Linked DNA regions of Danio rerio. The protein of the gene in region 1 binds, or shares a complex with, the protein of each later gene. Links are inferred from orthologs where the notes say so. Each region holds a gene or a part of one and is shown on either strand. Other genes may lie near its edges. The genes, in order: piga, dpm2, pigq, pigh, pigc and pigp.

Region 1 (4,604 bases):
TAAGAAAGTGTGTCTAATGATGTGATGAGAGACACTGACAATTGTTGGGTTATAATGGTCATCGTAAAATATATATTCTGCAGGTTTTATTATTAAGCATAATTTGCTTTACTGGTATTATTTTATAATGTACATTTGATTTTCTTATTTAAAGTACTGTTTATAAAAGATTTTACTTCTCATGGATTCACATTAATATTTGCCTAACAATATTGCAGACAGCTACAAATTTTATTTATTTGTATTATTTATGCAAAATTCAATAAAATGCTTTGTGTGTATCAATTCTTTTGGACATTTTTAACTTCTTTTTTTACAAAATCCTGCTAATACTGATAATTGTGATTGTTCATACATTTTTTTTCTTCTTTTATTTTCATATTTGTTTTCTTTTGTTGTTGTAAGTTTTAAAAAAATATTTTTGTAAAAGAAAATATCTTTGCAGATGTTGCTTATGCTGAAACAGAAACATTACACACTAACTAAATAAATAAAGTCAAATCCTAATCAAGGACTTAATTTAATATCTTGCCATATTTAGTGCCATATTATGCATACTTTATATAATAAACATATTGCAAGTATAATTTAGGTATTTTTATCTTTCAGGTGATGTATAACCAGTCCACATCCACTACCTGCTTTCACAGTTTGCCGTTGCTCCGGTGTATATTTGTGCGTGAATGCATCACAATTGTTCACGCTCACAGCTCATTCTCTGCGATGGCCCATGATGCTCTGTTCCACGCCAAGACTATGGGGCTCAACACTGTCTTCACAGATCACTCTCTCTTTGGATTTGCGGACCTGAGCTCTGTCCTGACCAACAAGCTGCTGACTGTCTCTCTGTGTGACACTAATCACATTGTGTGTGTGTCGTACACTAGTAAAGAAAACACAGTACTGCGGGCCACTCTCGATCCTGAGATCGTCTCTGTTATTCCGAATGCAGTCGACCCCACTGACTTCACCCCTGACCCCTGTCGCCGCGACAACAGCAAGATCACCATTGTGGTCATCAGTCGACTGGTTTACAGGAAAGGTCAGCAGAGCATGCTGCTTTTTTTGTAGTACAGAAAATTGGAATAATAGGCATTGTGTGGGGTCAAAATGAAAAACTTTGTTAGCACATCATTTGACTGCACTTAGTTTTGCAATATTTGTACACAAAGCTTGCACTACATGACGTTGTGACGTGTAGTTACATTTTTTGGAGTGGTGCGCGGGCATGTGAAGGCTGTGCCGGACCGTACGCGTGCACTTGGCAGAAGTATAAAATCAAAATAATATAATAAATATAAATCAAAATATAAAAAGTGTAAATTAGCTTCAACAGAGTGGGGTCATGTGACTCCATGCGCAGTAAGTAATTGAAAAAATGTACCTGTAAAAATTATATTGATTATAGGTTCTGAATATCAATTTCGATTACTTTTTGATTAATCACCCAGACCCACTGTAAATACAATGCAAATTCAAGTAAGTGCATGCACTTTAGAATAAATTGCAACCTAAACTATAATACTGTTCAAGAAAAGGTTTAAAAAGCCCCCATTTTGCATTAAAAAGGTCATATTTTGGTTTTAGGGGTCTCCAACAACAGGCTGAAATGCATGAACGGTCAAAATCACTTTCATTGTCTTATAATCCGCATTAATTTTTACCTAATTATCCCAGTGACATTCATATGAATCCTTCAGTGATTTATTTGTTCCCAAACCCCTCCTTCGCATGAAGCTCATCTGCGCTGATTGGTCCCATGACCCATTCTGTTGCGATTGGTCAACTGCGTTTAGCACGAGACAGAGAGAAATGCCTTCCACTGCTACAGTTTGAAGTAAAGTTAGTAGAGAGTATGCGAGAGCCCAATACAGCAATGCAATAAAGCAATGCAGTTAAACACCAGCATATTACTCTACTCTTAACCCTAACCCAAAGTAATAACAGCGACACGTATTCAGTATTAATTCACACTGCGGCAAAAAAATTGAACTATTTTGAAAATTAACCATGCCGCGTGTAAGGAACAGCTGATGGTGGCTGTAGCAAAGGCAAGCAGCAGATGATCGCCAGTTCGGAAACGAGTTTAAATTGGTAAAGGAAAAAGCACACGTCACGTTTTTAACATAGTTTTGGACACGTTATTGAATAGCCCTTTACAAATTTAACCAGAGGGATACAATACAAGCACTGATCTATAATTGATACATGATTACAAGCCGCACGGGGTGATTACAACTTATAACACACAATAAAACACATATTTTGCAAACTACACAATACAAGGCAACATTAAGATGCCTACTGGTTTAAAAAAAGCCTAGATTAAAAGAAGATGGCCAGAGGAGAACTTTTCTGTCATAAACTATAGTAAAACAACATGTCAAAAAGAATTAAAAAAATTAAACCCTACGAACAGGAATAGTAAATACAGGAATAAAGAAAAGAGTGTTCTTTTATTGTCAGCTGTCAGTCAGCGCCCACACTTTTTTTCGTGCACATTGCACCTTTCCCGTGTGCTGTGTAAATATAGTCAATCGGATACGAGTCACTTTTAAAAGATGAAGTAAGCATTGCAGCAAAAAAATTGGATACAGTCACAAAATCAGAATTGACCATCAAGATCTGCAGTGTAAATGCAGCCTTACATGTTATGATCTGGAGGAAGAAGAAACTGGTCCATATGAACTGTAAAAGTTACTAACAGAGTCCCTGTCAAAGTCTGAAAAAAGTCCCATAGTCTCTGCTGCTCCTTCAATAGCAAACGCCCAGCAAATCCCACGTTGCAGTGTAGGTTATTGTATCAAAAATCAGAAAAATAACAGGTACAAACGCAGCACTAGGTTGGCTATACTGTGGTATTATTGTGAAAATGAACTTTAACCCTTTTTTTTTTCTACAGCCGAATCTCCATCTATCAGTGATCGTCATCTTCGCATCATAATTAGTCCCGTGATCCCCGCCCCTCCACTAGTGTCTAAAGTAAAAGCGTGTGCACATTTTACCGGAACTGAACTACATATTTGGTGATGTGCCGTATCGACGTCGATGCGATCAAACAAAAGATCCGAACCCAACTCGATTCGTTTATTCAACTCTGAGTCAACTATTTAGTTAAAGAATCAATAGTTTTAAATATGGTGTACTTTTAGATTTAGACCTCAGCTGGATGTTTTCATTCACTTAGCTGTGTTACACACTGCATGGAAGGTCATTTTCAAAAACCCATAATAGGGGCTTATTTTTTATTGCCCTAAACTAATTTTGATGCTTTATTTCATTATAATATTATCTGGAGACTTCTACTGTCATCATATTTTTTTATTTTTTGCCTCCAAATATGAAACCAAATTATTTTAATATAATTATATTTTAATATAGTTTTATAATAATTAACCATATAGTAAAATAGGTTATTGATTATCTATTAAATGTTATATTAACATAATTGAAGACATGGATTCTGTATATATAAGTTTTTAATTTTTATTTCGATGGGTTTTTTTAAGGGTAATTTTATCAACCCTTTGATTTATTTACCTTATATTGTTTTGTAGGCATAGATTTACTAAGTGGAATCATTCCTGAACTATGTGGAAGGCATCCGGATCTTTGCTTTCTGATTGGCGGAGAGGGACCCAAAAGAATTATATTGGAAGAGGTTCGAGAGAAATATCAGCTTCATGACAGGTGAGAAAACGAATTGGCTTGAGAGATGCATATTTTCTTTTCTTTATTCATTTACTCTTTTTATCTATGTATATATAAAGGGTTCGTCTGCTAGGAGCTCTAGACCATAAAGATGTGAGGGATGTCCTTGTTCAGGGTCACATCTTTCTCAACACATCTCTCACTGAGGCCTTCTGTATGGCAATTGTGGAGGGAGCCAGCTGTGGTCTGCAGGTATATATGTTTATTTTTATGAATCTGTATAAATAAAATCACATTATTGAAGTAAAATAAGTTGCAAGTGACAGTTAAAGGGGACCTATTATGCAAGATTTCTTTTGTGTGGCAAGTCTGTGAACATAACCAGGTTCTAATGGTAAAATGTGTCATTAATTTTTTTTTATCACAGTTAATAACAGCATTGTGCAGAAACACTTTGACGTTCTACTTTTATACATGTCATCAGAGAATGAAGTCCCATCCAATAGTGACGATTTCTCCCTCATTAGCATAGGATATTAGGCTTGTTTTTTAATCTGCCACTATGCTGACATAGGCATTTGTAGCTCCGCTTTCTTTTAAAAAGAGGACTGGGATCCTAATCTCATTTGACTTTTAAGTGACAGTCACCAAAATGACACCATTAGGATCAAAACCTATAAGGGGCAGTTTCAAAGAGTTGTAAAACATTATTTGTGTGGTATTTAGAGCTGAAACGTCACATACTTTAAAGGTTACCTATTATGCTTATTAAGTCTTTGATTTCCCTAGTCTAGTTTGAATGTCTGATGTGACGTTTCGATGTGCGAAAGAAAGCCCCGCTGCTACTCAGTGTTCCATTATCAGTAGCAGTGGGGCTTTCTTTTGCAAATGTTCTGTCATAGCAATGGTAAGAGGGCATAATTAAGGATAATGATATTCAGTTTCTATGAAAG
Region 2 (5,035 bases), on another chromosome or scaffold:
AAAACTACAACTGGTCATTTTTTATTTAGTAAAGTCTATAAAAAGATCTGTAAGTTGTTCCATTTTGGTCTGTAAATAATTAAGTTACATTAGAAGCACAAATATAGGCTGGTACAGTTGTAACTTTTTGTTTACCTTTCTATATCCTTGAGATATTTTAAGCCAGTGTGTTCAAAATGTGATTCAAACTAGCTACAAGTGTCAGCTTTTAAATGGCCTACATGTTATCTTTGTAGCACAAACAGAAAATGCACAGTTACGTTTCAAGCATCCAATTGTAACAGGATATTCACTGGGGTGACATGTAACATTATAAATCAGAATTATGACAAAAAAGGACTCAGCTCCGAGTATAATCTGTGTTTGTCTCTGTTACAAAGATGAATAAAATGTTTAAATGTGCATCAGTTTAACAATTATATAGGACTGTTTGTGTGTGCAGGCTTCATGAGCACACAGAGCACAGGTGAAATTAAATATATAGACACAGCTAAATTTGCTTGGGGTTGTTGGTAACATTTCACCAAGTTTTTTGTTCCAACTGATCCAGAGTGTTGTAGCCAAGGATTTGCATTACTGCTAAAACATTTGCAACAGCATCATGGGTTTAACATATCTCCACAAACACACAATTTAACATTGATGGGTTTAACTAAGTCAGGAATAAAAATATAGGCTAACTGTCTTAGTTCAAATATAGTTTCCCTCCTATAACATGTCCTGTGTCTGACTCTACTGGTTCGTATGTGGAATGAGGATCAATGTGACCTTACTGTATGTGAAGACTGAAGTGAATCAACTGTTTTTTTTTATTCTGGCTGTATCTGCCAACATTTGTCTCCGAAATTCAGATGGAAGTGTTAAACAATGGACCGGGTTTCAAACGGCGGCGGCGGAGATCGGAAACTATACGTATATAGCCTACGTGTGTGTTTGTGCACATCTCCCTGCGATATAGTCTAATGTAATCCAACTGTAGTATTTTGCAGCATCATGATCATGTATGTACCATAAAACCACATGCAAAACTTTTCCTTACAGCGCCACCTACTGGACACTTACACACACTGAGCAGAAAAACACTTCTCAAGCAGAGGGCCGAAATACTAAAATAACAAAACCAAATATATTTATCAGTTTAACTCATTCTCTCAGAATAAGTATTGTATGTGTGTGAATGTGAGTGTGTGGATGTTTCCCAATACTGGGTTGCAGCTGCCTTTATGGTCTTCATTAAAGATGTGGAGAAAGAATTATAGCCAATATAAAGTTGATTTCAGAATCTAATAAGAAAGCTTTAAAAACTGTGAAAATATGCTTTGCTTTTAAGGTCTTCGTGTAAGTAGCCTTAACTCTGATTTGCAAAACAAATTTTTTATGCTAATAAATAATAATGTGAACAATTAATTTAATACTTATAAATATTTAATGTCTTTCCATTTCTCTCTTCTCTTTATTCATTCATTCATTTTCTTGTTGGCTTAGTCCCTTTATTAATCCGGGGTCGCCACAGCGGAATGAACCGCCAACTTATCCAGCATGTTTTTACGCAGCGGATGCCCTACCAGCCGCAACCCATCTCTGGGAAACATCCACACACACACACACACACACAAACACACACACACACACTATGGACACTTAAGCCTACCCAATTCACCTGTACCGCATGTCTTTGGACTGTGGGGGAAACCGGAGCACCCGGAGGAAACCCAGGCGAACGCAGGGGGAACATGCCTTCTCTTTATCTCTTATGTTATTTTTTTCTATTGTTTCATACTGTTCTTTTTGGAGGGTATCTAAACCTGGATCTGTGTTTGTGCGCCCTCGTGTGATGAATAATGAAAAAACCAAGGTGAGTTGTAAACTACAATTCCCAGCACTTCCTTTGCCTGTCGGAAGTACGTACGTTTTACAGCTCATGCGGAAGTGGCACGTTCGTAATGGTAAGATGAAATTAAATGGGTATAAAATTGTTGTTTTGTCCTGTGTATTTATATATTTTGTATATTACAGAACACATTTTAAGACGCCTCGTCGTTCCTAGAGAGTTAACTTACTGTTCAATTTTCTAGTTAATGTGATGCGTCTGGTTCATGAGAGTTTCAGTTTTTAGACATGTTATATAACTTACTTTTTATTTAAAATTATATTTATTCATTACTTGTTCGTTCATAGTTTAAAGACCGCTGCTGAAAGCTAGGCCAATATATACTTTGCTGTGATCCAGAGATCCAGACAGAAAGTCTTTATAAGCTCTATGTATGTACATATGAAGAGTTCAGATGCAAAAACCTCTAACGTTAAGTGCCATCCTAAATTTCCATGGAAAATTTAAAATTTTTACCTACCTCCTTTGTTTATGTTGAGATATTTCACTTTAAAGAACAGGAAAAGGACTTATTCTTTGTCCTAAAGTGATATTACTGAACATACACACTGGAATCTGATAAAAATGCTTATTTTAGAGGAAAAACTCAGATGGCATTTAGAGATATTTGCATCTAAAATCTTCATACATGTTCTTAATTTATGTTAAACTTGAGGTAAAATTATTATTATTATTATTTTTGTTTTGATTGTAAAATACAATTGAAATAACCCCAAATAAGACTTAAGAAATTGTATATTATTTTATTGTATAATTTGTATAAATATTTTATTGAATTACTTATTTTTGCAATTTATATAAAATGTGATGTGTTAATATATGAGCTAAGCCCAAAAACTATTTATCTTAAGGCAACCGGAGCAGATCAAGCTGTTGGCTTTGGACTCGTTGGCTTTAGTCTTTTGCTGTTCACATATTACTCCATTTGGGTGGTAGTCTTGGTAAGTGATCAGTTAAATTCATTTTTACCGGTAGATAAATCATGCACAATGTGTTACTTATTTCCTGTGCTACTAAAACATATGCTGCTAAAAAAAGTGATGGAAACTCTTCTGCTCTTATTCCAGCCTTTCGTAGACAGTGACCATGTGATACACAGCTATTTTCTTCCACGAGAATATTCAGTCATACTTCCTGGCATCGCAGCATTAATCCTCTTGCTCTTTGTTGGTAAGCAGATCAAGTAATAAAACCATAAAAAAATTAACATGACATGTTCATGCTGTAAATTTTGATTAAAATATGGTCATTTTAAGCATTTATGCCTCAGTGAGGAAAGCGAAAAACAAAATCCTTCTTTAATAAAAATAATAATTTATAGTAATAATACATTTTATTTGTATAGCACTTTTCCAGCATAACATACAACTCAAAAGTGCTTCACAAACATGAACAAATAGTAAAAGCAACATCAACGTGGGGAGCTAAAATATAGAAACAGATAAGCAAAATTTAAATTGCAAATGTTGAGAATAAAAATTATTTATCAGAAAATTATTATTACAATCAATAGTTTTGAAATATTTAAACCGGATGATTAAACTTTTACTTTAACATAATAATTGTGTTAATTAAATTTATGTGAACATAATTCTGTCAAAATAGTTTTTCTTGCATTTTCTTGAACGCTGCAAATAGATTTACTAAATGATTTTAAACATTGTTCACTTTTAGCATGTTTGCACAGCTAACCTTAAAATTAAAAGCTTTTCATGTTTTCCTCTGTATTTAATAATCAAATGTTCTACTTCTCTTTAAGGCACATTCATAGGGATCGTAACATGGAAGAATCGAAAACCTAAGAAAGTTGATTAAGACTCTCCAGGTTGTTGTGATTCGTACTGCAGCAAGAATGATCAGCGTTGGTTTTACTCATCCATGTGAAGAGGATGAACTTCTGGAATCCAGTCATTTGTCATGTTCAGGTGCTGTAGTTGTTAAAATGAACATCAAAATAGAGTTAACTAATTCACCAAAGCCGTACTGAACATGTACACAATAATAGTCTACCTGAGCTTTGTACATCTAGTAGCTACAACATTGACTCAAGACCATGCTAGTAGTGCAATGATTTAGGGAATTAGCGTGAATAATACATAAGATGATAAAATAGGCACATAAGACATGTGTGTAGTTTAGAGCACATCTAAATGAAATATGGGAGTAATGTTTCATTGTTCTTGTACTATGCTTTAAGTCTGTGTGTTTCAGCTGTTCTCTTGTTTTGTAAATAGACATATTTATGAGGTAGAGTGCTTCCTTTTAGCCTCAAATATCAGAAGAAGAGTCTGAAAATAATGGGAAAGGGATTTTTTGCTGTTTCAAACAATTCCTCATTAAATGAACAGAAATATACCTATGTCATGTGTTTTATATGATTTATTTGACATAACACTTCTGCTACTGTAGCTCATCTGTTTTTAGGGTTTGAGGTGATTTTAATATCTCAGCTGTAATGATAGTGGTTGTTACTCTTGTGCTGTGTTACTGCTTACCTTTCTATTGAACCAGTCTGGCTATTCTTTGGCCTCTTGCATTAACAAGTCATTTTTACCCACAGAACGGATGCTCATTAAATATTTTATTATATTATTTTGCTATAAAAGCCCAGTAGGGCGAGGCAGTGGCGCAGTAGGATGTGCTGTCGCCTCAAAGCAAGAAGGTCGCTGGTTCGAACCTCGGCTCAGTTGGCGTTTCTGTGTGGAGTTTGCATGTTCTCCCTGCCTTCGCGTGGGTGCTCCGGTTTCCCCCACAGTCCAAAGACATGCAGTACATGTGAATTGGGTAGGCTAAATTGTCCGTAGTGTATGTGTGTGAATGTGTGTGTGGATGTTTCCCAGAGATGGGTTGCGACTGGAATGGCATCTGCTGCGTAAAAACTTGCTGGATAAGTTGGCGGTTCATTCCGCTGTGGTGACCCCAGATTAATAAAGGGACTAAGCTGACAAAAAAATGAATGAATGAATGAAAAGCCCAGTAGATCGGCAGTTTCTGCAAACAACCTTTTTGACAACAACAACAATCAATGCCAAATGCAAATTCTGTTAAAGAGACATTTCACCCCAAATGAAAAAATACTAGCTTTTATTCTCAGCTTTAAAAATATTATTTTTTTTTCTGTTGAACATAAAAGATCACATTTTA
Region 3 (5,017 bases), on another chromosome or scaffold:
TTTAACAGATTATATAATAACAAAAATTGGCACAGTGAGATTATATTAATGGACAAACTAACAGATCGACCAAATTGTAAAACATCTAAAATGATGTTTTTGTCATTCTATAATTCATTCATTGATTTTCCTTTATTAATTAGGGGTCACCAAAGCTGAATGATCTGCAAACTCATCCAGCATATGTTTACACAGCGGATGCCCTTCCAACTGCAAATCATCACTGGGAAACACCCATACACTCTCATTCACACACATGCACTACTAACATTTTAGCCTAATTTAGCAGGGTTTATAGCCAGTCCACCTATACTGCATGTCTTTGGATTGTGGGTGAAACAGGAGCAACTGGAGGATACTCACGCAAACACGGGGAGAACATGTAAACTCCACACAGAAATGCCAATTGACCCAGCCGAAGCTCAAACTAGCGACTTTCATGCTGTGAGGTGACAGTGCTACCCACTGCGCCACCGCCCTGCTTCTCATTCTATAATGTCTCAGCCAATGTCTGTCATCAAAGTGATTTAGTATTATTACATCCCAGTCTTGAGCAGCTGTGCTCCCAAAGAGTCTCGCACTTCCAAAAACTGCCATTCATTTATTGAGTTTAATCTTTTATCTTTTGAGGTGCAATTATTTTAATTAATTAATTTAATGAAGTGCAAGGGAAAAGCTCACCTTGCCACTTTATACCTCAGTAATTTTTTTTTTTTTTTTTTTTTTGTCATTTAGTGCCAGTTTATCAGTTTATCGTCTCTTTGACTCATTAGATAGAAATTATGTTTTTTTTTCGCAAATGTTTCATGCAGACTTTCAGTTTTGAACATAAGTCTTAATTAATCGATTTAATTCATTTTCTTTTCGGGCTTATTCCCTTTATTAATCAGGGGTTGCCACAGCGAAATGAACCGCCAACTTCATGCACCGCACATGTTTCATGCAGCAGATGGTCTTCCAGCCACAACCCATCTCTGTGAAACATTCATACACACCCATTCATACTCATACACTACGGACAATTTAGCCTACCCAATTCACCTGTACCGCATGTCTATGGACTGTGGGGGAAACCGGGGCACCCGGAGGAAACCCACACGTACGCAGGGAGAACATGCAAACTCCGCACAGAAACGCCAAATGACCTAGCTGAGGCTCGAACCAGTGACGTTCTTGCTGTGAGGCGACAGCACTACCTACCGAGCCACTGCATCGCCAAGTCTTAATTCAAATCTTTGAATTAAAAAGATCTATACCGTATGTAGTTCCATCTGGGTTGGTGGGTTTGTAATGTGTTTGTCTGTGTGCTTGTAGCTGCGGCTGGTGGTGGTTCTGTTTCAGGGAGTGATTCACCTCAGTGTCGACTTCATCAACTCTTTCCCCCTGTTTGCCATCGGCCTGCGCATCTGCAGACCATACAGACTGGCAGGTGAGCCATACTGCATCATACTGAAGAAATGCATACGTTCTTTGATTTAATCGTTGACTTTTTTTAAAAATATAACAACTGATTATAAAGATGAAATTATGAACGTCCATGTCCTGTTGTGATTATCTCACCTGTTGCCTATTTATTTTTTGTTTTATAGCTGATCTGTTATTTAAAACACTATATAAATCATCTTTGAGCTTGTCATGACATTTTTGACATTTTTGTTGCATGATTTATTGCATCTAAATTTATTGTGATAAATTATATTAATGTCATTTAAGGGCCATTTTATGGAACTCATTATAGAATGCCAGTATTAAAATGGACCCTTTTTACAGGACTGTTCTGACGCATTTTAACAGGCTTCAGCATCGTAAATCCTTAAAGGTTTTTTATGTTTAGATTTAAAAATACATATGCACATTTATGTGGATTTATGTATGTATTATATCCTCTTTGCAATATATTAGCGAGTTACTGCTTATATGATGCGTTTGTAATGCAGAGTGTATAGACAGGACAGTAAATTTGACCTTGTTCTTTCTTCTGGCTGTTAATAGTCTCACATAATTTTTGTTTCCTTTTTTTTTTTTTGAAAGTCTTGATAACACCATTGAAACCCCATTTTACTGTACTGTCCTGCTTTTAATAATTCCAGAAGGCTTTTTTATTAAATGAACTCTCTTAAGGACATTTTTAATAAAGTGACACCAGGAAAAACTTTTGAATTTTTTTTATCTTGTATTAGCACTGAAAATCTTATTTAATTTACATATTCATTTGTTTGTTCTTTTTAATTGTATATTTATTATTGAAATGTTCTTGCCATGAGAATAGCCTTGGTTACTGACCATTGCTGACCATTGCAAGTTTTTCTATTATTATTTAAGCAAATAGGATTGTAAAAAAAAAAAAATTGTTGTACTCTCCTGTTCACGGCGCTCTACGTTTACCCACCTATGACGACTTCCGCTACTGAACAACCAGGAAATCTGTAAAAGGTTCATACACTCAAAAATGACTTTTGCTTCTTGTTCTAACTACTTATTTAAAAGGACTTGAGACAACACAATTCTTAAGTTTTTTGGGGGGATAACTTAATTGTTTTATGTTCAATCACTTTAATTTGTGAAAATGGTTAGGTTTACTGTTTTGATTTGTGTTGGAGCAACATAACGGTATTGTATGGAACCCTGCATTTTATAAAGTGTATAATAGCACCATAATGCAAATATACTCTTTAAAAGAACACATTTGAAATGATTAGAGTAATTTTAACCCTTTAAGGTGCACTCCTTGAAAAAAATGTTTAAATCGAATAATATACTGACACAACTCTGATAAATAGTAATAAGCAATTAAAATAATAATGATAGCCTATGGATAAAAGGTCGACCAGGTGGTTACGATGGTTGTTAAAGGGTTAACAATGAAATGATTAAGCATTAGAATCGTAATGTGAAAAGATATATCCTAAACAAGTAAATAATGATAACAGTACATATTATGTCTTCGTATTCCAGAGGGTGTTAAATTCAAAGTGCTTTGTGAGGAGTCAGGATCTCCGCTTCACCTGATGATGGAGGTAGGTTTATTATTGGGAGAACAGTTTAAAATCCTGCGGTTGACTTATAATTGAGTTTCATTTGTGGTTTGGGTTTGACCTGTTGATTTTCTGGGATGGGTTATATAAGGCTTATTGTTTGGTTGAATTCATAATCCGTACAAACACTGGACATGCTTTGCTTAGCTATGAGGTTTGATAATGAATGATGTTCTAGATGAGCAAACATGAACGACAGAAAAAGAAATAATTTTCTCCACCCTCAGATCAACCCATTGAAGTGCAGCTCTGTACTACAGCGCTACCGGACGCCCACCTATAGCTGTTACCCTAAGGATTCATGGGCCGCATTGTGCAAGAAACTATTTGTAGGAGAACTTATTTACCCCTGGAAGCAGAAGACTGACAAGACAGACTAACTTTGAGGTACCATGCCTGTTCAATTCTGGTTCTGGAGTTTAGCTCAAACTTATGCCAACACAGCTGCCTTTTTTGTTTGGGGTTGGAGCTAAACTCTTTCAGGAATGGACAACACTATACTAGACTAACATAACCAGACATGTGCACACTGGGGAAAACATGCTCTGTTCGTCAAACTTCACTCACTTCCAAAATAGTCTTAATAGTTTTTCTTTTATAAAAATACAGATTATGTTAAATGAAATAATTAGATAAACATTGAATCACTATTTCTGTGATTGAAACTGTGATTATTTTTGTATTTATTTTAAGTCTATTTCTACTTTTGTATAACATTTGAAGATGTGCCATGTACTACTTGTAAGTTTGATAGTTAATTCTGATCGCTGTATCACTACCAATTTATTAGATTTATTTGAACTGGAAGTAAAACTGTCAACCTTATTAGTTTTTAGCCTCTCCTGATAGGCTAGGTAGATGGAAAGTGACTTGAGTAAAGTTGTTTAAAGTACTATAAAGTTTAAAGTGGTACTATAAAATTGTATACATTTATATAAGTCTAATCTACCTGATCAATGTGAACTGACTGAGTTAAGTATAGTTACATTTTTTTTATTAAATTATTTAACCATGATCCTCTTGTATAATCATTGCCAAATTGTGTTTTTGTAGCAGTTAATAATGTTATGAGTTAATAAAATGTGTATAAATGCAGGTGGAATTAATTTTGTGCCATTTTTTTTTTTTATCTTTGAACCCTTTAATAAAGTTTATTTAATCCATTTGTATACATACAGTATCTCTGGATCTTAGATCGCTTTTTTGGTGATGAATGTTGAAGCTGTAAACAACTGGTGTACAGTGTGTATAACTGGTCTTGGATCTTTTGTTTGGTGGAACAGCCTGTGAAGAATGTGCTCAGACTGGAGTCCATGAACAACACGACAATGACAGGCCAGGCAACTGATTATTCATTGACATCTGGGAATTCACCTTCATGTTTGTGTTGAGGACATGAAGCTATTGTGTATATCTGACACAAAGATGTGTAGGTGAAAACTGAAAAATATGCACAACATAGATTAGACTAGACAGAAGATATTAGATTAGTTTAAAATTTCTTTAAACTAAATTTCCCTTTTCTGTTTTACCTGAACAAAAATGTTTTTCAGTTTGTGTTTGTCTCTTTTTTTTTTCTTTTGCTGCAGTGCAATTAAATGGCATTGTCAAGCAGACAAACTGACCAATAATAATGAAAACCGTAAAGTCCCAAAGTGTTAGTTCACCCCAAACTGACAATTTTGTCATTTACTCTTCCTTAAATTGTACAAACCGGTTTGAGTTTCTTTTCCTGATGAACACAAAATAAGTTTTTAAGTTAAGTATAAGTTAAAGGTTTTTTTCAAACCTTTAACCATTTACTTCCATGTATTTGTTTTTTCTACTATGGAAATCAATGATTACAGGTTTCTAACAATTTTCAGAATACCTTCTTTTGTGTTTAGCAAAAAAGGAAATCCAAACAGAACCAATGCAGGGTGAGCATTATGTAAGTAACTAATCTTTTTTTGGCTGAACTATGCCTTGAAATGTTGTTTGCA
Region 4 (5,280 bases), on another chromosome or scaffold:
TGAAAGTTACTCAACTACAGCAGAGAGCAACCTAAATGTACAATCAACTACTGACACGCTATATAATACCTCATAGATAATGCATTTAGCGTCCTAAACAATATATCTCACTCGTCTGCTGTGAATTTCATTGGAATTCAAAATGTGATGTCAAATTATGACACTGGCTTAAAATCAAATATTCAATATGAACTATAAATAGATCAGTTGACATCCGTGTAGCACTGGCACTAGGACAGATTGTCGAGCTTTCTAATTGATTTAAAAGTGTTCAAGCGGTCTAAACTGACAATCTACAAGCCATAAGTATCGAAATGTTTGTATTGGCAGACATAAACACTGAGAAAACAGCTACATTCGAGTGTTGTTATCGCCCTGGGCTTTTGTTACTCAAGCTAGCTACGATTAGCATACGTGACTGGGCTGTCTCCTCTAGTTTCAAAGACTAAATACTAGTGGGGTTAGAAAATATGACTTCTGTATCTGAATTAATAATGGTTTAGTATCGTACAGTCCTTAAAGTATGTTCACCCAACAACACACACTGATCAACAGAGCTTTGACCGAACAAAACAAGCTGATTTCGAGCCAGAATCACACCGCAGTTTTCAACAAACGAGCTGCTGAATTCCCTCAAACATCGCACACGACAACGACTCTGTCATAAACACAAAAACAATAAGCCGGTTGATGTGAAGATAACTGTTTTTGCCCACCAGCTTGTAAAATGATTCCCCTCCCCGGTAGATTCGGGTGAATGTTGTTGCCAGGTCAGATCAGCTGATCGGCTTGTTTTCACTGGAGCGGGAGTCAAAGGTTACCGACCGCAGGGGCTGATGGGAAATGCAGTCAGATCTCATACATTTCCTAAAGAATCGATAATGCAATGGGGAGAGGTCATCTGAAAAATATTTCAAAAACAAAATGGTGGTAGAATACAATTTATGGGAATGTACTAGGCAGTTTTTTTATTGTAGGCTACATTTATTTGGTCGATTATTACCTTCACATTGCTGGTGACAAAGACACTAAAATATAAATAAAATAAAATACTTAACATTTTAATTGTTACTCAAGTTAATATAGTCTTACTGCATAATCTAATAACATCAAAACAGTTAGCGTATTTCACATGGCACTCCGGGGGTATCCTGCTGTTCCCAGGCCAGCCGAGAGCCGTCCTGGGTCTTCCCCGAGGCCTCCTCCTGGTGGGACATGCCTGGAACACCTCCCAAGGTAGACGTCCAGGAGGCAGACTTCTCAGCTGACTTCTCTCGATGTGGACAAGCAGCGGCTCTACTCTGAGCTCCTCCCGGGTGTCAGAGCTCCTCACCCTATCCATAAGAGTGCACCCTGCCACCCTTCAAAGGAAACTAATTTTGGCCTCTTGTATATGAGATCTTTTCCTTTCCGTCATGACCCAAATCTCATGACCACTGGTGAGAGTAGGAACGTAGATTGACCGGTAAATCGAGAGCTTTACCTTTCGGCTCAGCTCCTTCTTTACCACAACGGACCGGTACATCGACTGCATTACTGATGACGTTGCATCAATCCACCTGTCAATATCACTTTCCATCCTTCCCTCACTCGTGAACAAAACCCCAAGAAACTTAAACTCCTCTACCTGGGGTAAGAACTTTCCTCCAACCTGGAGGTGCAAATATTACTAATCAAAAATTTTATTATTTACTTGTATTTATTTAAAAAAATATATTTTTGTGAAACATAGCTCAGTAAATAACTTAATGAAAAAGATCATTTAGGCTTTTACAATGTACTTTACAGTGTACTTGTTTTCACTGGAGCGAGAGCTAAATATTTTTGTGCAACTGGTTTTGTGGTCCAGAATGGGAGTTTTCAACCCCAGTCCAGTAGATGGCGAAAACGCACCTGTATGTTATTTTGCCAACGTCACATTATCATAAGAAGAAGATGGTTTTACTGTTGGTGGAAAAATAATAATCTAAGCAAAACTATTTATTCTGAAGTCTTTATTAATGTAATTTTCCGACCGCGAAATAACCAGCAGTGATCGAGATGGCCGACGAAGAGTTCACAGACATAAATGGCAACTGGATTTCTTTAGACTGCCAAACGCACTCTTCTTTCTGCAGAGAGTTTACTGTTACCTCACCCAAACTGTCCTTGCGCAAGGTGATGGTGTACACCTGCTGTGTGTGGTTATTTGCTTATGCTGTGTTCTTCTTCACCCAGGTAAGAACATTTTATCATGCGGACTATGAAGGCCTTGGCGTCTTTTGCTGTTTATTAGACAAAAAATGACTGTTTATTGGACTTTGATTTGACATTGCGCGAAAACGTCTATTATACAGTTGAAAACAAATTTATTAGCCCTCCTTTGAAATTGAACTTTTTTTTACTAAGTTATTTTCCCAAGTTTTCTTTAACGTTTAGAGAAGATTTTATTTAAAAAAAGAATTTAATGATAACATAATTATTTTGTTTTTTGCCATAATGAAATTAAATAATATTTTACAATTTATTTTGCAAAATACTAGTAATATTAATCTAAAAATGCAATTTAAAGGCTTAACTGGGTTATTTAGGGTTAACTAGGTCAAATCATTGGACAACAGTGGTTTGATCTGTAGCCAATATTTAATATTTCTTAAGGGAAAAAAAATACATATTTAAAATGTACGTCCATATAGTGAGGAAACAGAAGTAGTTTACGTTGTCATTTATAGTGCATTTATTACAGCTGCTGAGTGCAGGTTAAAACATTTGATTGTGCATGAGGCTGTATTTGGAGATCAAAATAAGAAAACAATATATAGTTTCTCTGAAAAAAAAAAGCTTCTAAAAAGTGTAAATGAAAAGTATATTTGGAAATACTGTAAATATTTTCCTTGCTCTGTTAAAATATCCATCGGCAATTATTCTAAGAAAAAGGATTTTACAGTAAGGCTGATCATGTGGTCTTCAACTGTATTCAGTGATTTTATCACATGAGCCAAACCATAAAAAATGCTTTCTTTACCCATCACAATATGCAATTTTAAAGAAGATAAAACCAAAATACAGAATATGTTGGTTCAATAAAGTCGTATCCCTCTAAATCCAATACACTCAGTAACCATTTCATTTGGCAGGATTATAGTCGAACAGGAACCCAAATTAATCATGTTTGTGTTTTTAAGGCCTGTGATTGTGTAAGCATGTAAAGCATTCATGCATAATGAAATAATGAAAACTATTTTACATTTGATTACTCAATTTGAGTACCCGAATACTGCTAGAAGGTTGTTGTTTTCATTCATCGCTTTGCTCTACTGTTTTTATCAATACTTTTGATTGATTTATTAAATTTGATGCAGATACACTCCACAAAATCATCATAATCAATGTAAAATTATGTAAATTCTTTCCAAATAGAGCTATTCATTTCATCTGGTGAATTTATTTACAGAATCTCAATGTGTATTGACAAAAAACTAAATACTGCAATATCAGCTTTTTCCCAATATCATACAGCCCTAGTATATATCTCAAAATTCCACTTAGTACTAAGCAAGAAGAACTTATTCAGGAATTTCCAACATGGCTGCGATTGAAAGTTTGATATTATAATAGAATATATGAAATATTTTCGTGAATGTCAAGCAAATGTTCAATATAAATCTAACCTAATTGCTCTTATTGATCTAATATAATTCTCCTTCTGTTTAATATTCAGAACACGGCGGTTCTGTCAAGTGCCATCATCCTCACTTTAGTTGGGATGGTGATTCATATTCACTTTGTGAAGGTGGACCATGAGACCCTTCTCATAATAGGCTCTCTGGGTGTCCAATTGTCCTCGTCTTACGCCTCTGGACGAGAAAGCACGACTTTCATTGAGATGAGCAAGCTGAAAGACATCGTCATAAATGAGGCTGTTTATATGGTAAACACACAGTGACCTTCACGCATGATAGATATCGAGATGTAAAAATAATCAGTGTTTGTGTTTTTGCTCCTCAGCACAACATCATATACTATCTGTGCATTCTCATCAAGGACCCAGCAGATCCTGAGACGGTGACCAGTGTTGTTCCTCTCTTCCAGGTTCAAAACAGCTGTTGTTATTCATTCGCAAAAGCAAGATTATAGGAATTTGTGACATCTCAGTATGTAAATGAACACCTTTGGTTCTTCCTCCAGAGTTCAAAGCCTCGGCTCAATTGTTTGATTCAAGTGTACAAGAGCTGTCAAGAAATTCTAGCACAGAGCAGATGACGCAGAGGTAATGCTTCATGTTTTGCTAGATATTCTGCATGTTTTACATGACTGACATAGTTCTGTGTCTATATATGCTTTATGACTCCATGTTTTTCGATCAGCAGAGGCTTTCTTTGAAGATGAATGAAGATTGGAAAACTCCAGAACGAATCATAAGCACATTGTTGGTAGCTTTTTTGTATTGTCAGTAATACACAATGCATTTTGTTACATGCAGAAGTTTTTAGATAGGCTTCGCATTCAAAAACGTTTGTACATAACAGTATTCTTGCCTCATTTAAAACATTATTTAATGATTAGCCATTTAGTTTTTTAGGATGTGTTCACACTTGTTTTGCATAATTTTGTTAAAAAAAACTGACAACGGAATATTTTCAATATATATTTTAATATGAAGACTTGAATAGATCTATTCAGAAATAATTCATTATTTTAGATTGATTAGGGTGATTATTGTTATTATTATTATTATTATTTTCCATTTTAGGGGAGCACATTTGGATCAAATATAACAAATCACAAGAAAAAATAAGTACAACAGAAAATACAATGGTCTATGGTTCACTGGTGAGACTAACAATACAGAAATAAATATGACACTGAAACAATTACTGTATGGTATAAATATTTAAATACAAGTAATCTTTGTTAAAGCTACAGACATAATTGCTTAAATGCTTTTAACAGGGTGTCCCCGAGGTCTTACAAAGTAATAAAGTGTCTTAAATTTCAAAAAACAAAATTTTAGGCCTTAAGTTTGAAATTCACTGCAATATTGTGCTGCGAGTCTTAAATCATTTTACACAGGTCTTATTTTACTATTTCCATTTAAAGCTACCCTATCGGGCTGACACCCAATCACCAATAATCAGTCTTAATTTTTTGGTTCATATTTAGTTTTTTTTATTGTTATTATTTTTATTATTTAAAAAGATACATGTCACATAAGCTGTTAGACATTTTTACAGCTAATTAAATTCCCTAATCAGGGAAAGAAAACTAAAGCAACGCATCCTTTTACATGATCTTCCATTA
Region 5 (5,226 bases), on another chromosome or scaffold:
GTGACTTCAGTCCTTGTTGGGATACTCTTTTAAAATCTTAAAGCATTAACAACTTAAAAATATATTGTTATCGTTCAATATGGAAAATGATTTTCGAGATGACATTTTTGCCATATCGCTCAGCTCTACAAAGGTATGTGTAAGATTTTTTATTTGCATTTTTTTTTTGTTTGTTTTGTTTTTAGGACAACAGTATCTCCATCTCTCATACATAGATGCTGTTTTTAATTGTGAAGAAGTCTGTTGTTGAAACTAATGAAGACAGCAAAAGTCAATGATTGACTTGAATTATTCAGCCCGTCATGTTTACTGCTCCAAAATATTGTAAATGTTTCTCAAATGAAAATATATTGTGTTCAAATGGGAAAAAAGTTCTTGTTTTTTACCCAGACATTTAAAAAGAACAGATTTTAGAGCATTGAGCAGAATACCATGAAACAGTAAAACTGTGCTATTTATATCCAAGGTTATTACACCGTCAGAATCTTATACCGGCCCATGCCTACAAGTAAGTTGATTTATTTAAGTATGGTAAAAAAAAATGATTTCTCTCTCTCTCTGGTCTATTTCTGTGTTTCTACAACAACACTTTTCCTCTGAGAGTGTCTGTCCTCTAGGATCTGCTGCTCTTTCTGCTCTGCTCTGTGCTTTTCTGTTTGTCTATTGGTCAGACTGTTTTGTGCTTCCAATGTAATAGTGGCTTCATCATAGTTGCTCAAGTTAGTTCATAGCCTTTAACTTGATCTGACTCTCATTCATTCATTCATTCATTCATTCATTCATTCATTTTCTTTTCAGCTCAGTCCCTTTATGAATTTGGGGTCACCACAGCAGAATGAACCACCAACTTATTCAGGATATGTTCTATGCAGCAGATGCCCTTCCAGCTGCAACCCATCACTGGGAAACATCCATACATACTCATTCACACACATATGGACAATTTAGCTTAGCTAATTCACCTGTACTGCTGTAACCCATGCAAACACGGGGAGAACATGCAAGAAATGCCAATTGGACCATATGGCTTGAACCAGCTACCTTCTTACTGTGAGGTGAACGTGCTACCCACTACGCCACTGTGCAGCCCTTGATCTGACTCTGCACAATTATAAAATATAGAAACAATTATTATTACTATTATTATTATTATTGACTTAATATAAAGGATGATATATATATATATTACATTATTTTAGTTACTGATCTTTTCTCGTTGAATTTCTGATCTCATATCACCACCTTCTGGCCAATATCTAGAACTACATGTTGATTGTGAATAGGTTTGATGCTTTTTTTTTTTACATCTGAATGAATGAATCTTAGCTTGGTGTTTCTATACGTTCGTTGATGGACTTTTATTACAACTGTATGAAATAAATCCTTCATTTTAAAGCCAATAAGCTGTTTTACTCAGTATTAAAGTGCTAAACTAAAAATAATTCAATAATAAATAAATAAATGTCTCTGTCAATTTTTTCAAACTACTGTATTTAATTTACCAAAGTCACACAAGTGGCAATTGTACATCTGTCACATCCATTATGGAGACATGTCACATCCAAAACGACACTTTTTCCTCATGAATGAAAAAAAATAATTGTAGAATAAAATAAAATCAATCACATTTGAGGAGTCCGCTACAAATGAAAGAAGCCCTGTGTTATACAATATTGTTTGAGTCAAATTATTTTAAATACTCTAATACTGAAGTATTAGTGTAATATTAGTAACTAAAATGAATGAAAATAAATTGTTTGTGTGCAGACGGACTCCAAATATGATTATCCACTAATGAGGGTCAAACAAATGTAACAATAACTCAAATTACTAAACACTGTTTTTTTATTTAAATTTTAGTCATATGCTGTTACAAATTAATCAAGAGAGGATTACCCATAGACTATATAAATATTAAATGTATATGCATCTCACTTTTCACTCGTCGGCGGTTGTGAGGAACAGTCGTCAGGTGGCGCTCTTCAGTCAATACCACGGTTGCGCTTTTGTTTTTGTTTTTTGGTACGTCACTTCCGGATGTATGATGGCTTGACAGCTGCGGCTAAATACAGGAAACCCTGCTCATTCGGTAAGATTTTAGATTTATCTTGAACATTATTCTGTATAAGTTTGATATGAAATAATATATTTTGTCTGTATTTATACACTGTCGCCAGCTGGCTTACTGTATGACTGTATGATTGATTCATTCTGTATGAATCAGATTGACGTGAGAAGCTGTCAGTCAGATACCGCTTGACATTTAGGATAATAATAGATTGATTAAATGCACGTTTTACTTACACAAAGATAAACAATGCTGCTTAAAGTTTTGTGGTGTTTAATGTTTTTCTTTATATATAAACTATGAAGCAAATACATGATATGTGGAGAACAGGGTGTAGTTCACGCAAAAATCTAACTGGCCCCTCTAATTGGTTTTAAACCTTTATGAGTTTCTTTCTTCTGTCGAACATAAAGAAGATACTTTGATGAATGATGGATGCTGGGACCCATCTACTTACAAAGGCAAAGCAATTGCTATTGAAGTCAAAGGGTGCCAGGTATCAGCTAGACATGGCGTCACCTTATAAGGTTCTATTTGACATTTTTGTCAAAACTGAGTTATTGACATATTCTTACTAAATGACAACTTATTTACATTATGCGATGTTTTTTTATAAGTTGTTTACATTTTAAGATTTTTTATTTAAAAAACAAATGTTACACACATACTGTTTGCTATGCAATGCAAAAACTTTGAAGCTCAATATTTTAAAATCATTCAGAATGCAGATAAAACCTTATTATTCTAAGGTGACGATAGGCTGGTTTAAGATTGTGATGTATGATAACCTTGGATGAAAATATCACGGTATTGCTATTACTGCTCTAAAATAAATTCTTTTTAATCGTCTGGATAAACAACAAACTTTTTTCTACCTTTGAACACAATATATTTTATTTTGACAAACTTTTAAAAATATTTTGTAACAATAAACATGTCAGGCTAAATAATTTAAATCAATCTTTGACTTCCTCCCTCTTGATTAGCTTCAAAAACACTGATTTATTTATAATTTAAAAATGGCATTTTAGGATATCTTCTGCTGGAGATACTTATGTCCTAAAAACATAAAAACAAACAAACCTACATAAACCATTGGAACGGTATAGCAAAAAAAAAAAATTTAAAACCTTGATTTTTCCAAACCGTGGTATACCTTGAATACGGTTATCAACCCATACGTATTACCAGCATTCTTCAAAACATCTACTTTTGTGCTCAGCAGAAGAAAGAAACCCAAACAGGGTTTAAACAAGTGAAGGGGGAGTAAATGTTGACAATAAAAAAAAAATTAAGTGTACTTAAAGACCAATGAAAATTTCTCAGTTTCTCTGGATGTACTGAATTTACAAATTGTTTAAAATATTAATATAAAATATTGTTTTCTTATAACATTTATTCCAAATTTAAAATCTGAGTATTGTCATTTTAGAGCCCACCCCACCATTGTTGTGAACATTTTCCATTGTTGTGATTAACAACCTAGGTTATTAATATTGGTTTCTTATATTTGGTAATATTTTGGTAATATTCGGTAATATTGGTTTCTTAACTGGCCTAAAATTGAAATTGAAGAAAAAAAGAAAAGAAATTGAAAACACGGAGCAATCGCTCGCTTTTTTTAATGCTTAATAGTAATAATTCTGTTTAATCCCGCCCCTTTTCGCATCGCCATACGACAGAATTTTGCACACACAAACTCTAGTGTGACTGCAGCTTGAGCCCAAGGAAAATGAATGAATGCTCGTAATGCATTATGATTTATGCAAACTCACTGCATAGAAAATAATTTTCTGTGTACCTGAGTACCATTTGGAGTCCCATATGAGATTATTTTCACCATTGTATTGTAAAATGTTACTCTACCATGATGCCTGTTTGACAACAATGCAGAAAGTTATACAAGATCATCGCAGGATATCAGCAGTATTATTGGCTGGATTGCCTGTCAATCAAACTACCTGCAAAGGGTTAATTGCATCATCAAAGCAATAAAATAATAAATAAAAGAAAAACACTTGATCAATCAGTCGATCTAAATTAATGAAATCTTTCCAAATAGAAGTATTCGATTCATCTGGTGAAACTATATTCGTGTCACAAAACAGTGGGGGAAATAAGTATTCCACACATCACCTTTTCTTTTCAGAAAACATATTACTAAAGGCGCTGTTGACTTAAAATATTTCCCAGATGTTTAAAACAATCAAAAAAATCTAAGTATGCAAAGACAACAAATCTAATTATTTTACAAATAAAGTTATGTGTAATAAAAAAAATGAAGCAGGGAAAAAATATTAAACACATGAAGATAGAGAGGTGCAGAATGACAATAAAAGCCCAGACAGCAGCTGAAATCTCTCAGTAGTTCTTCAGCAACCCCCTTTTCTTCGCCATTGTAAATTAATATCAGCTGCTTCAGTCCAACATCTACATTAGCAGGATGATAAAAAGGAAACCATAGCGGAAATTTCAGCAAAACAATGATTCAAAACACAGCTAAGAAAAGAGAAAGAAAATCAAGCTGTAGAATGGCCCAGCCAATCACCTGACTTGAACCCAATAAAAAATACAAATTAAAGATCAGATTTGAAAGATGGGACTCACATAACCATTAAGATTTTTACACAGTGTTGAAGTCTCTGAAGAACTCACACCTTAGCAATTCATGTGACTTCATTCTCCATATGAGAGGCGTCTTTAAGCTGCCATCATCAAAAAAAGCTTTTTATATGAAGTATTTCAGTAGTTCAACACTTCTCCTTGTGTCATTCCATTGTTATTACACATCACTTATTTTTCAGATGTGTTTTATTTTATTCTATTTTAATATTTGTATTGTTTGAGTTTTTACCAAAATCAGGATCAATCTCATGTCAACAGCTCCTTTAGAAACATTATTCCTAGATAAAAACATGTCATGTTCAATAGAGAATTCCTAATGTGGCAGCAAAACTAAAAATGAGCAATGTCACATTTTTTCCCAATATCATGCATAGCTAATGTTCAGCCACTGTGTTCTCTGATTTGGACAGGCGATGGGAGCAGACAGCGGTCCAGGGGCTCCTTCGGCCGTCCCGTGGAGGAAAGTGCTCTATGAACGGCAGCCTTTCCCAGACAACTATGTGGACCGGCGTTTCCTGGAGGAGCTGCGGCGG
Region 6 (5,132 bases), on another chromosome or scaffold:
ACTCCGAACAGTAGCACGAAACAGGTGCTCAGGGCCACCAGCAGGTATATGGGGCCCGCCAGAGCCCAGTATCTGACGACAGACAGACGGAGAGAGAGAAAGAGTGATTGATCAGACATTAAACATCAGCATCTGAAGAGCAGACGACAGACAGACCACTCACTTCTGCGGCCAGTAGGTCAGTCCGGCTGCATGGAGCCAAGAGTCAGGAACAAACGCCCAGACCACATACAGCACTGATGGAGAACACAAACACACACACAAACAAACACACACAACACCACAGATGAAGAACACACCAGCAGCTGCAATGTCTTCAAGATAGAGGTGTTTGTCAAGCAGAAGTACTGTTTTCTGTCATGCTGCATGTTTATTCAGATATCAATTATGAGTCCAGAACAAATAAATAATGCTCAAGTCATTTATAGTGAACACTGTAGTGTTTCAGCGACTGAGTCAAGTCCTGAAATTGATCTGCTGTGGTGATTCTACAGTCGCTATGGTAACATGACAATTATAATAATTGATCTGCTGTGGTGATTTTACAGTTGCTATGGTAACACATCTACAGTAATTGATCTGTTGTGGTTCTGCAGTTGCTATGGTAACAAAACTACAGCAATTGATCAGTTGTGGTGATTCTACAGTTGCTATGGTAACAAATCTACAGTAATTGATCAGTTGTGGTGATTCCACGGTTGCTATGGTAACAAAACTACAGTAATTGATCAGTTGTGGTGATTCTACGGTTGCTATGGTAACAAAACTACAGTAATTGATCAGTTGTGGTGATTCTACGGTTGCTATGGTACCACAACAGCTACAGTAATCTATGAGTCAGAACTGTATTCTTCTACAACTTTAGAGCACAATACACCACACTTTACCTGAGTAAACTGAAGTGTACTACAGTACTTCTTACTACAGTCAGCATTCAGCATCATAGCTAAACATACAGACAGTATAATGCCCTGTACTCTAGTGTGTGTGTGTGTGTGTGTGTGTGTGTGTGTGTGTGTGAGACACTGCTGTCAGTCTGTAGATTCTGTTGATGTTTCTGCCACAGGATTAAAGCCTCTCTTCATCTGTAAAGGACAATAGCCGCGTTTCCACTATCGCGCCTAAAGCGAGCGAGCCAGGGCGAGCCAAGGCCAGTGGGGTTTCCACTGTCACTTCCGGGGCCTAATCGGGCCAAAGCGGGGCTTTCTTGGGGCCAGCGGCCGGCCTTTTTCGGCCCGCCGAATACCTTGGGCCAAGGAGGGCCAGCTGGGGCTTCGGGGCGGAGTGAAAGAAGAGGCGGACAGTTTTCTGATCGCACATGAGTACATGCGCCAAACAAATAAAGAAATAAGGGAAAGAAAACATCTAGCCTTATAGTCTGGGGTCTTTTTGCGTATGATCACCCTTATGTTTCCCTTTTAAATGTAAGGCTCCTGCATAAAATAATAAAGTTGTTTTAATTTATAGTGACGTTCTTTGCTGCGTCCTCCTTTATGTTTCAACGCATAATAATCTTTACACCATATTAAAAACACAGCAGACAGTAAAAGTTTTCGAGAGTTTTTGTCAAGTTTAAAATGTTTGTTTGTTTGTGCACGTTTAGATGCCTGTATGTGTGTGTGAGACCGGGCAAAAGCGCTCCTTCACAGCTCTGTTATGCCGCGAGCGGCTTTTTTCTTTATTTATTTTGGAGATAATACACATATAAATACAACAGAAAGACATAAACTTAACAAAATACGTGCCCACTTTCGTAGACTTTAAACAATATATTGTCATATCTTGATAAAATAGCCTAAGGTATATTGAAATATAATTTAAAGAATTACAAATATCGGATATATAATCACATTAAATAAATTAACCAATATAAAATAAACAAAAGCTAACTATAACAATGTAGGTAGCCTATATACAATACATAAATCAAACCGTTTTAAAGCCACATATAGCCTAACTTTCATTTTGCAAAGACCTGTCTGAAAAAAAAAAAGATTTTCGATATTTTTTAAAAACAATAAACACCGGAGAAGGTTTGAAATATTTATATAAAGTAAATATTTATATAAGTAAATATTTATAAAGTATTTGGATACGATGATATTAATCAAATCGCGCAAACAGAGCATTATTTGAGTGAGTGAAAGCAGAATCTCCTATACCTTTTTTTCTGTCACTCAGTCCTGCGCAGCACTCGCTGCTTTAAACGCATATGGGGGAAGTCCAAACACAAAATGTGTTCTATATCCTCAAACAACTGTTTATGTTTTTATTTGACGTGGTTAAATTTATAAATGAAACTTTAAATGAGGAGTTTTAGTGAATAGCTGCCGAGCGCAACAAATATGGCTATATTTTATTAGGCTACTCGCTCTTGTGCTGAAAACTTAACACGACTTCTATCAACAAGAGGATGTTAAAAAATACATGACATATTGAGTTATAAAGGAGAATTTCTGTGGCTTTATATTATGGATGTGTGCGCTCTCTGTGTTGGGTCCCTGCGTTAGTGGCGAGAGCACTCCATGCACAATGCAGTCGGTCGGCGAGTAAACAAATGTAATGAATGGAAATACACAGGTCTGTGCGTATAGACATGTCATGTACTGCTGTACAGTAACGTGTCGTTTGTTTGTTTCGGTTGTCTTCATTTTAATGGTTTCGTTTCGTGATGATTTATGGTGTGCTTTATCTGCCTGATTCTCGCTGAAGTGGGCGGGTTGTGTGACGTTTGATTCGGGGACGTTCTGTGGGCGGTGTTTGCGTGACGCGCTGTGAGCTTTAGCCCGACAGTGGAAACGCGACATGATTTCAGCCTCATTTCTCAACCTCCCGGGCTGTTGGCCCGCCCCGGCCCGATTAAAGCCCTGGCTCGCACTGGCCCGATAGTGGAAATGCGGCTAATGTGTGTGCAATATCAGTACAGATCGAGTTAGAGACGTACAGAAGCCCAGCTGAGCGCCCAGGAACAGCACAAAGCCGTAGATGGCTCTTTCCGGCAGAGGAGAAGGAGAGTTCTCCACCATCACCATCTCCAGCAGCGACACCTGCGCGCGCACACACACACACACATCAATGCTCCAAACTAACACATCACACACGCTTTAGTTTCGATAAATACTATAACATATAAAACGAAAAACAGAACATACATGTCTTATTTCCTGATGGTGCTTCCTTGTGTTTCTGCGCAGGCGCACTGCGTCCTGCCGCCCCCGCGCGGCCTGGAGACAAACAAACGCGCGCGCACCTATTATTTGGTTTAATGCTCTGATTTTTATTTTCCATATAAATATTGTTTGTAAAAAATAATGTTGATTTTGAAGACGCTCTCTCTCCTTCATTCACTAATATCTGCGTGTATTAGCTCGGTCTGATATTCTGTGTGTTTATGACAGATTAAGAGCATGTACTTTACCGTACATGTTAAATATTTGTTGTGTTCAGCAGTTAAAATGAAGCGTATAAGTGTTCAAGTAAAACAACTAAAGAAGGCAGTAAATGACAACAGAATTAAAATGACTGGGTGAGCTGTGCCTTTAAGACAAACGTTGGTGTCCGCGGCCGAACAGCAGAGGGCGCGCTGACGTCACTCCGTCTAGAAGGGATACAGCTGCGGATTCTCACATTAGTATAGCACAATCTATACGACACTACAACAATATTGATTATTGTACATTACTGTGAGGGTAGAAGATAATTAAATACAGTTTAATGGGTAATTTAATAAATAATATGAATAATACTCTGTATAATTACTGTTTTTACATTACTGTGAGGGTTGTAGTAATACAATACAGTTTAATGAGCATTTTAATAAATAATATGAGTGATATTCGGTATAATTTCTGTTAATCCATTGCTGTGAGGTTTGGGGTTGGGGTAGGTAGACGTCAATACAATGTGCAATTAACTCAAATACAATTAATGGCTAATTTAAAATAAAGTAAAAACAAGTTGTTACTTCGGACAACACCTGTATCCCTTCTAGTGGTGAACAGCAGAGGGCGCGCTGATGCCACTCGCGCGGGCGAACAGCAGAGGGCGCGCTTCTTACTCCGCGTCAGTTTCGCGCTGCAGTTGATGCGTGAGGTTAAACATCAGGAAACAGTGGAGCTGCTCTTCTGAATCAGGTCAGTTTATAAACATTTCTCCCCGAATATTCACGACTGATGGACGGTTAGCTGCGGCAGCGCGTGTTCTTACTTCCGCGACGCCCCGCGTGTCATCAACACAGGTAAAGCGTCTGCCAGCCCAGAATGCGTCGCGTTCAACTTCCTGGTAAAGTTTGCGCCTTTCAGTGCGATAATTACAGATGTGCGAGCTGATCTTTAGAGGAGAAGAGATTAAACGCTCAATAATGGCGGAGAAATGACGAGTTTGGCGCCTTTTAGAGGCAGAAAAACACGAGCTGAAGGAGAAAAGCTGAACTCCTGAGGCGAAGCTGCGGATAAAGCGAGCAGGAGAGTTTACCTCAGCTTTACCACGGCACAGCTCGGGTTTGAGGAGAGGTTTGGCCAGGTTTGTGTCAGTTTAGACAGTAAACAGCTCGTGGTTTTGCAATGGAAGCCTCTGGGTCAGGTGTGTCTCCCCGAGGTGCATCATGGGAAGCGAGGCTGCTCTGATGTTTGCTGTAAAACTGTGCAGTTGGTGTTTACTAGGTTTATATAATGTTAGACACATCCACTCATTCCTGAACTCTTGTGACAATCTGTGACCCTCTCCATATGTTGTTCACCGCGCTACTGTGAATATTGGGTGTGGAACTGAACATTAGCACTGTTTAATTGACTGAACTGTTGTACTTCAGGCTCAGCCCTGCTCCTGGAGATCCACCTACCTACAGCATTCAGCTCCAACCCATATTAAACACACCTGCCTGTAGTTATGCAGTGCTGCTCAGGTGAGTTTGATCAGGGCTGGAGCTGAAGTGTGCAGGAAGGCAGATGTCCAGGAGCAGGGTTGAGCACCTCTGATGTACTTCGACAGTCATTTGGCTGACAATGTGATTTCTCTATGTCGTATGGGCTGAGAATGCTCTCTGCGAATGTAAAAACACCTTTACCCCCATCGAGATGCAAATCTTTTGCTGATTTTCCTGATTTTGTGTGTGAAGCAGAATGTCAGACAGT

Evidence for each region.
Region 2: piga (region 1) and dpm2 share a complex: the UniProt entries of both Homo sapiens proteins name them as parts of the glycosylphosphatidylinositol-N-acetylglucosaminyltransferase (GPI-GnT) complex. The link is inferred for Danio rerio from reciprocal best matches to the Homo sapiens genes PIGA and DPM2.
Region 3: piga (region 1) and pigq share a complex: the UniProt entries of both Homo sapiens proteins name them as parts of the glycosylphosphatidylinositol-N-acetylglucosaminyltransferase (GPI-GnT) complex. The link is inferred for Danio rerio from reciprocal best matches to the Homo sapiens genes PIGA and PIGQ.
Region 4: piga (region 1) and pigh share a complex: the UniProt entries of both Homo sapiens proteins name them as parts of the glycosylphosphatidylinositol-N-acetylglucosaminyltransferase (GPI-GnT) complex. The link is inferred for Danio rerio from reciprocal best matches to the Homo sapiens genes PIGA and PIGH.
Region 5: piga (region 1) and pigc share a complex: the UniProt entries of both Homo sapiens proteins name them as parts of the glycosylphosphatidylinositol-N-acetylglucosaminyltransferase (GPI-GnT) complex. The link is inferred for Danio rerio from reciprocal best matches to the Homo sapiens genes PIGA and PIGC.
Region 6: piga (region 1) and pigp share a complex: the UniProt entries of both Homo sapiens proteins name them as parts of the glycosylphosphatidylinositol-N-acetylglucosaminyltransferase (GPI-GnT) complex. The link is inferred for Danio rerio from reciprocal best matches to the Homo sapiens genes PIGA and PIGP.

Annotation. Positions count from the first base shown.
Region 1 is NC_133184.1:32,052,974-32,057,577, reverse strand, and holds part of piga (phosphatidylinositol N-acetylglucosaminyltransferase subunit A), read left to right. Parts: intron 1-609; coding exon 610-1,042; intron 1,043-3,557; coding exon 3,558-3,690; intron 3,691-3,770; coding exon 3,771-3,903; intron 3,904-4,604. UniProt on the Homo sapiens protein: Catalytic subunit of the glycosylphosphatidylinositol-N-acetylglucosaminyltransferase (GPI-GnT) complex that catalyzes the transfer of N-acetylglucosamine from UDP-N-acetylglucosamine to phosphatidylinositol and participates in the first step of GPI biosynthesis.
Region 2 is NC_133180.1:32,330,882-32,335,916, reverse strand, and holds dpm2 (dolichol phosphate-mannose biosynthesis regulatory protein), read left to right. Parts: upstream 1-1,888; 5' UTR 1,889-1,943; coding exon 1,944-1,946; intron 1,947-2,742; coding exon 2,743-2,832; intron 2,833-2,958; coding exon 2,959-3,061; intron 3,062-3,650; coding exon 3,651-3,706; 3' UTR 3,707-4,250; downstream 4,251-5,035. UniProt on the Homo sapiens protein: Regulates the biosynthesis of dolichol phosphate-mannose. Regulatory subunit of the dolichol-phosphate mannose (DPM) synthase complex; essential for the ER localization and stable expression of DPM1.
Region 3 is NC_133178.1:25,531,705-25,536,721, reverse strand, and holds the end of pigq (phosphatidylinositol N-acetylglucosaminyltransferase subunit Q), read left to right. Parts: intron 1-1,314; coding exon 1,315-1,429; intron 1,430-2,955; coding exon 2,956-3,017; intron 3,018-3,262; coding exon 3,263-3,415; 3' UTR 3,416-4,137; downstream 4,138-5,017. UniProt on the Homo sapiens protein: Part of the glycosylphosphatidylinositol-N-acetylglucosaminyltransferase (GPI-GnT) complex that catalyzes the transfer of N-acetylglucosamine from UDP-N-acetylglucosamine to phosphatidylinositol and participates in the first step of GPI biosynthesis.
Region 4 is NC_133195.1:31,130,966-31,136,245, reverse strand, and holds pigh (phosphatidylinositol N-acetylglucosaminyltransferase subunit H), read left to right. Parts: upstream 1-1,922; 5' UTR 1,923-2,040; coding exon 2,041-2,217; intron 2,218-3,700; coding exon 3,701-3,910; intron 3,911-3,987; coding exon 3,988-4,071; intron 4,072-4,167; coding exon 4,168-4,242; 3' UTR 4,243-4,249; intron 4,250-4,346; 3' UTR 4,347-4,761; downstream 4,762-5,280. UniProt on the Homo sapiens protein: Part of the glycosylphosphatidylinositol-N-acetylglucosaminyltransferase (GPI-GnT) complex that catalyzes the transfer of N-acetylglucosamine from UDP-N-acetylglucosamine to phosphatidylinositol and participates in the first step of GPI biosynthesis.
Region 5 is NC_133195.1:16,064,402-16,069,627, forward strand, and holds the start of pigc (phosphatidylinositol N-acetylglucosaminyltransferase subunit C), read left to right. Parts: upstream 1-2,071; 5' UTR 2,072-2,089; intron 2,090-5,103; 5' UTR 5,104-5,106; coding exon 5,107-5,226. UniProt on the Homo sapiens protein: Part of the glycosylphosphatidylinositol-N-acetylglucosaminyltransferase (GPI-GnT) complex that catalyzes the transfer of N-acetylglucosamine from UDP-N-acetylglucosamine to phosphatidylinositol and participates in the first step of GPI biosynthesis.
Region 6 is NC_133185.1:415,954-421,085, reverse strand, and holds the start of pigp (phosphatidylinositol N-acetylglucosaminyltransferase subunit P), read right to left. Parts: upstream 3,195-5,132; 5' UTR 3,153-3,194; intron 3,048-3,152; 5' UTR 3,033-3,047; coding exon 2,945-3,032; intron 237-2,944; coding exon 164-236; intron 73-163; coding exon 1-72. Other genes in the region: E3 ubiquitin-protein ligase TTC3, read left to right, coding at 5,121-5,132. UniProt on the Homo sapiens protein: Part of the glycosylphosphatidylinositol-N-acetylglucosaminyltransferase (GPI-GnT) complex that catalyzes the transfer of N-acetylglucosamine from UDP-N-acetylglucosamine to phosphatidylinositol and participates in the first step of GPI biosynthesis.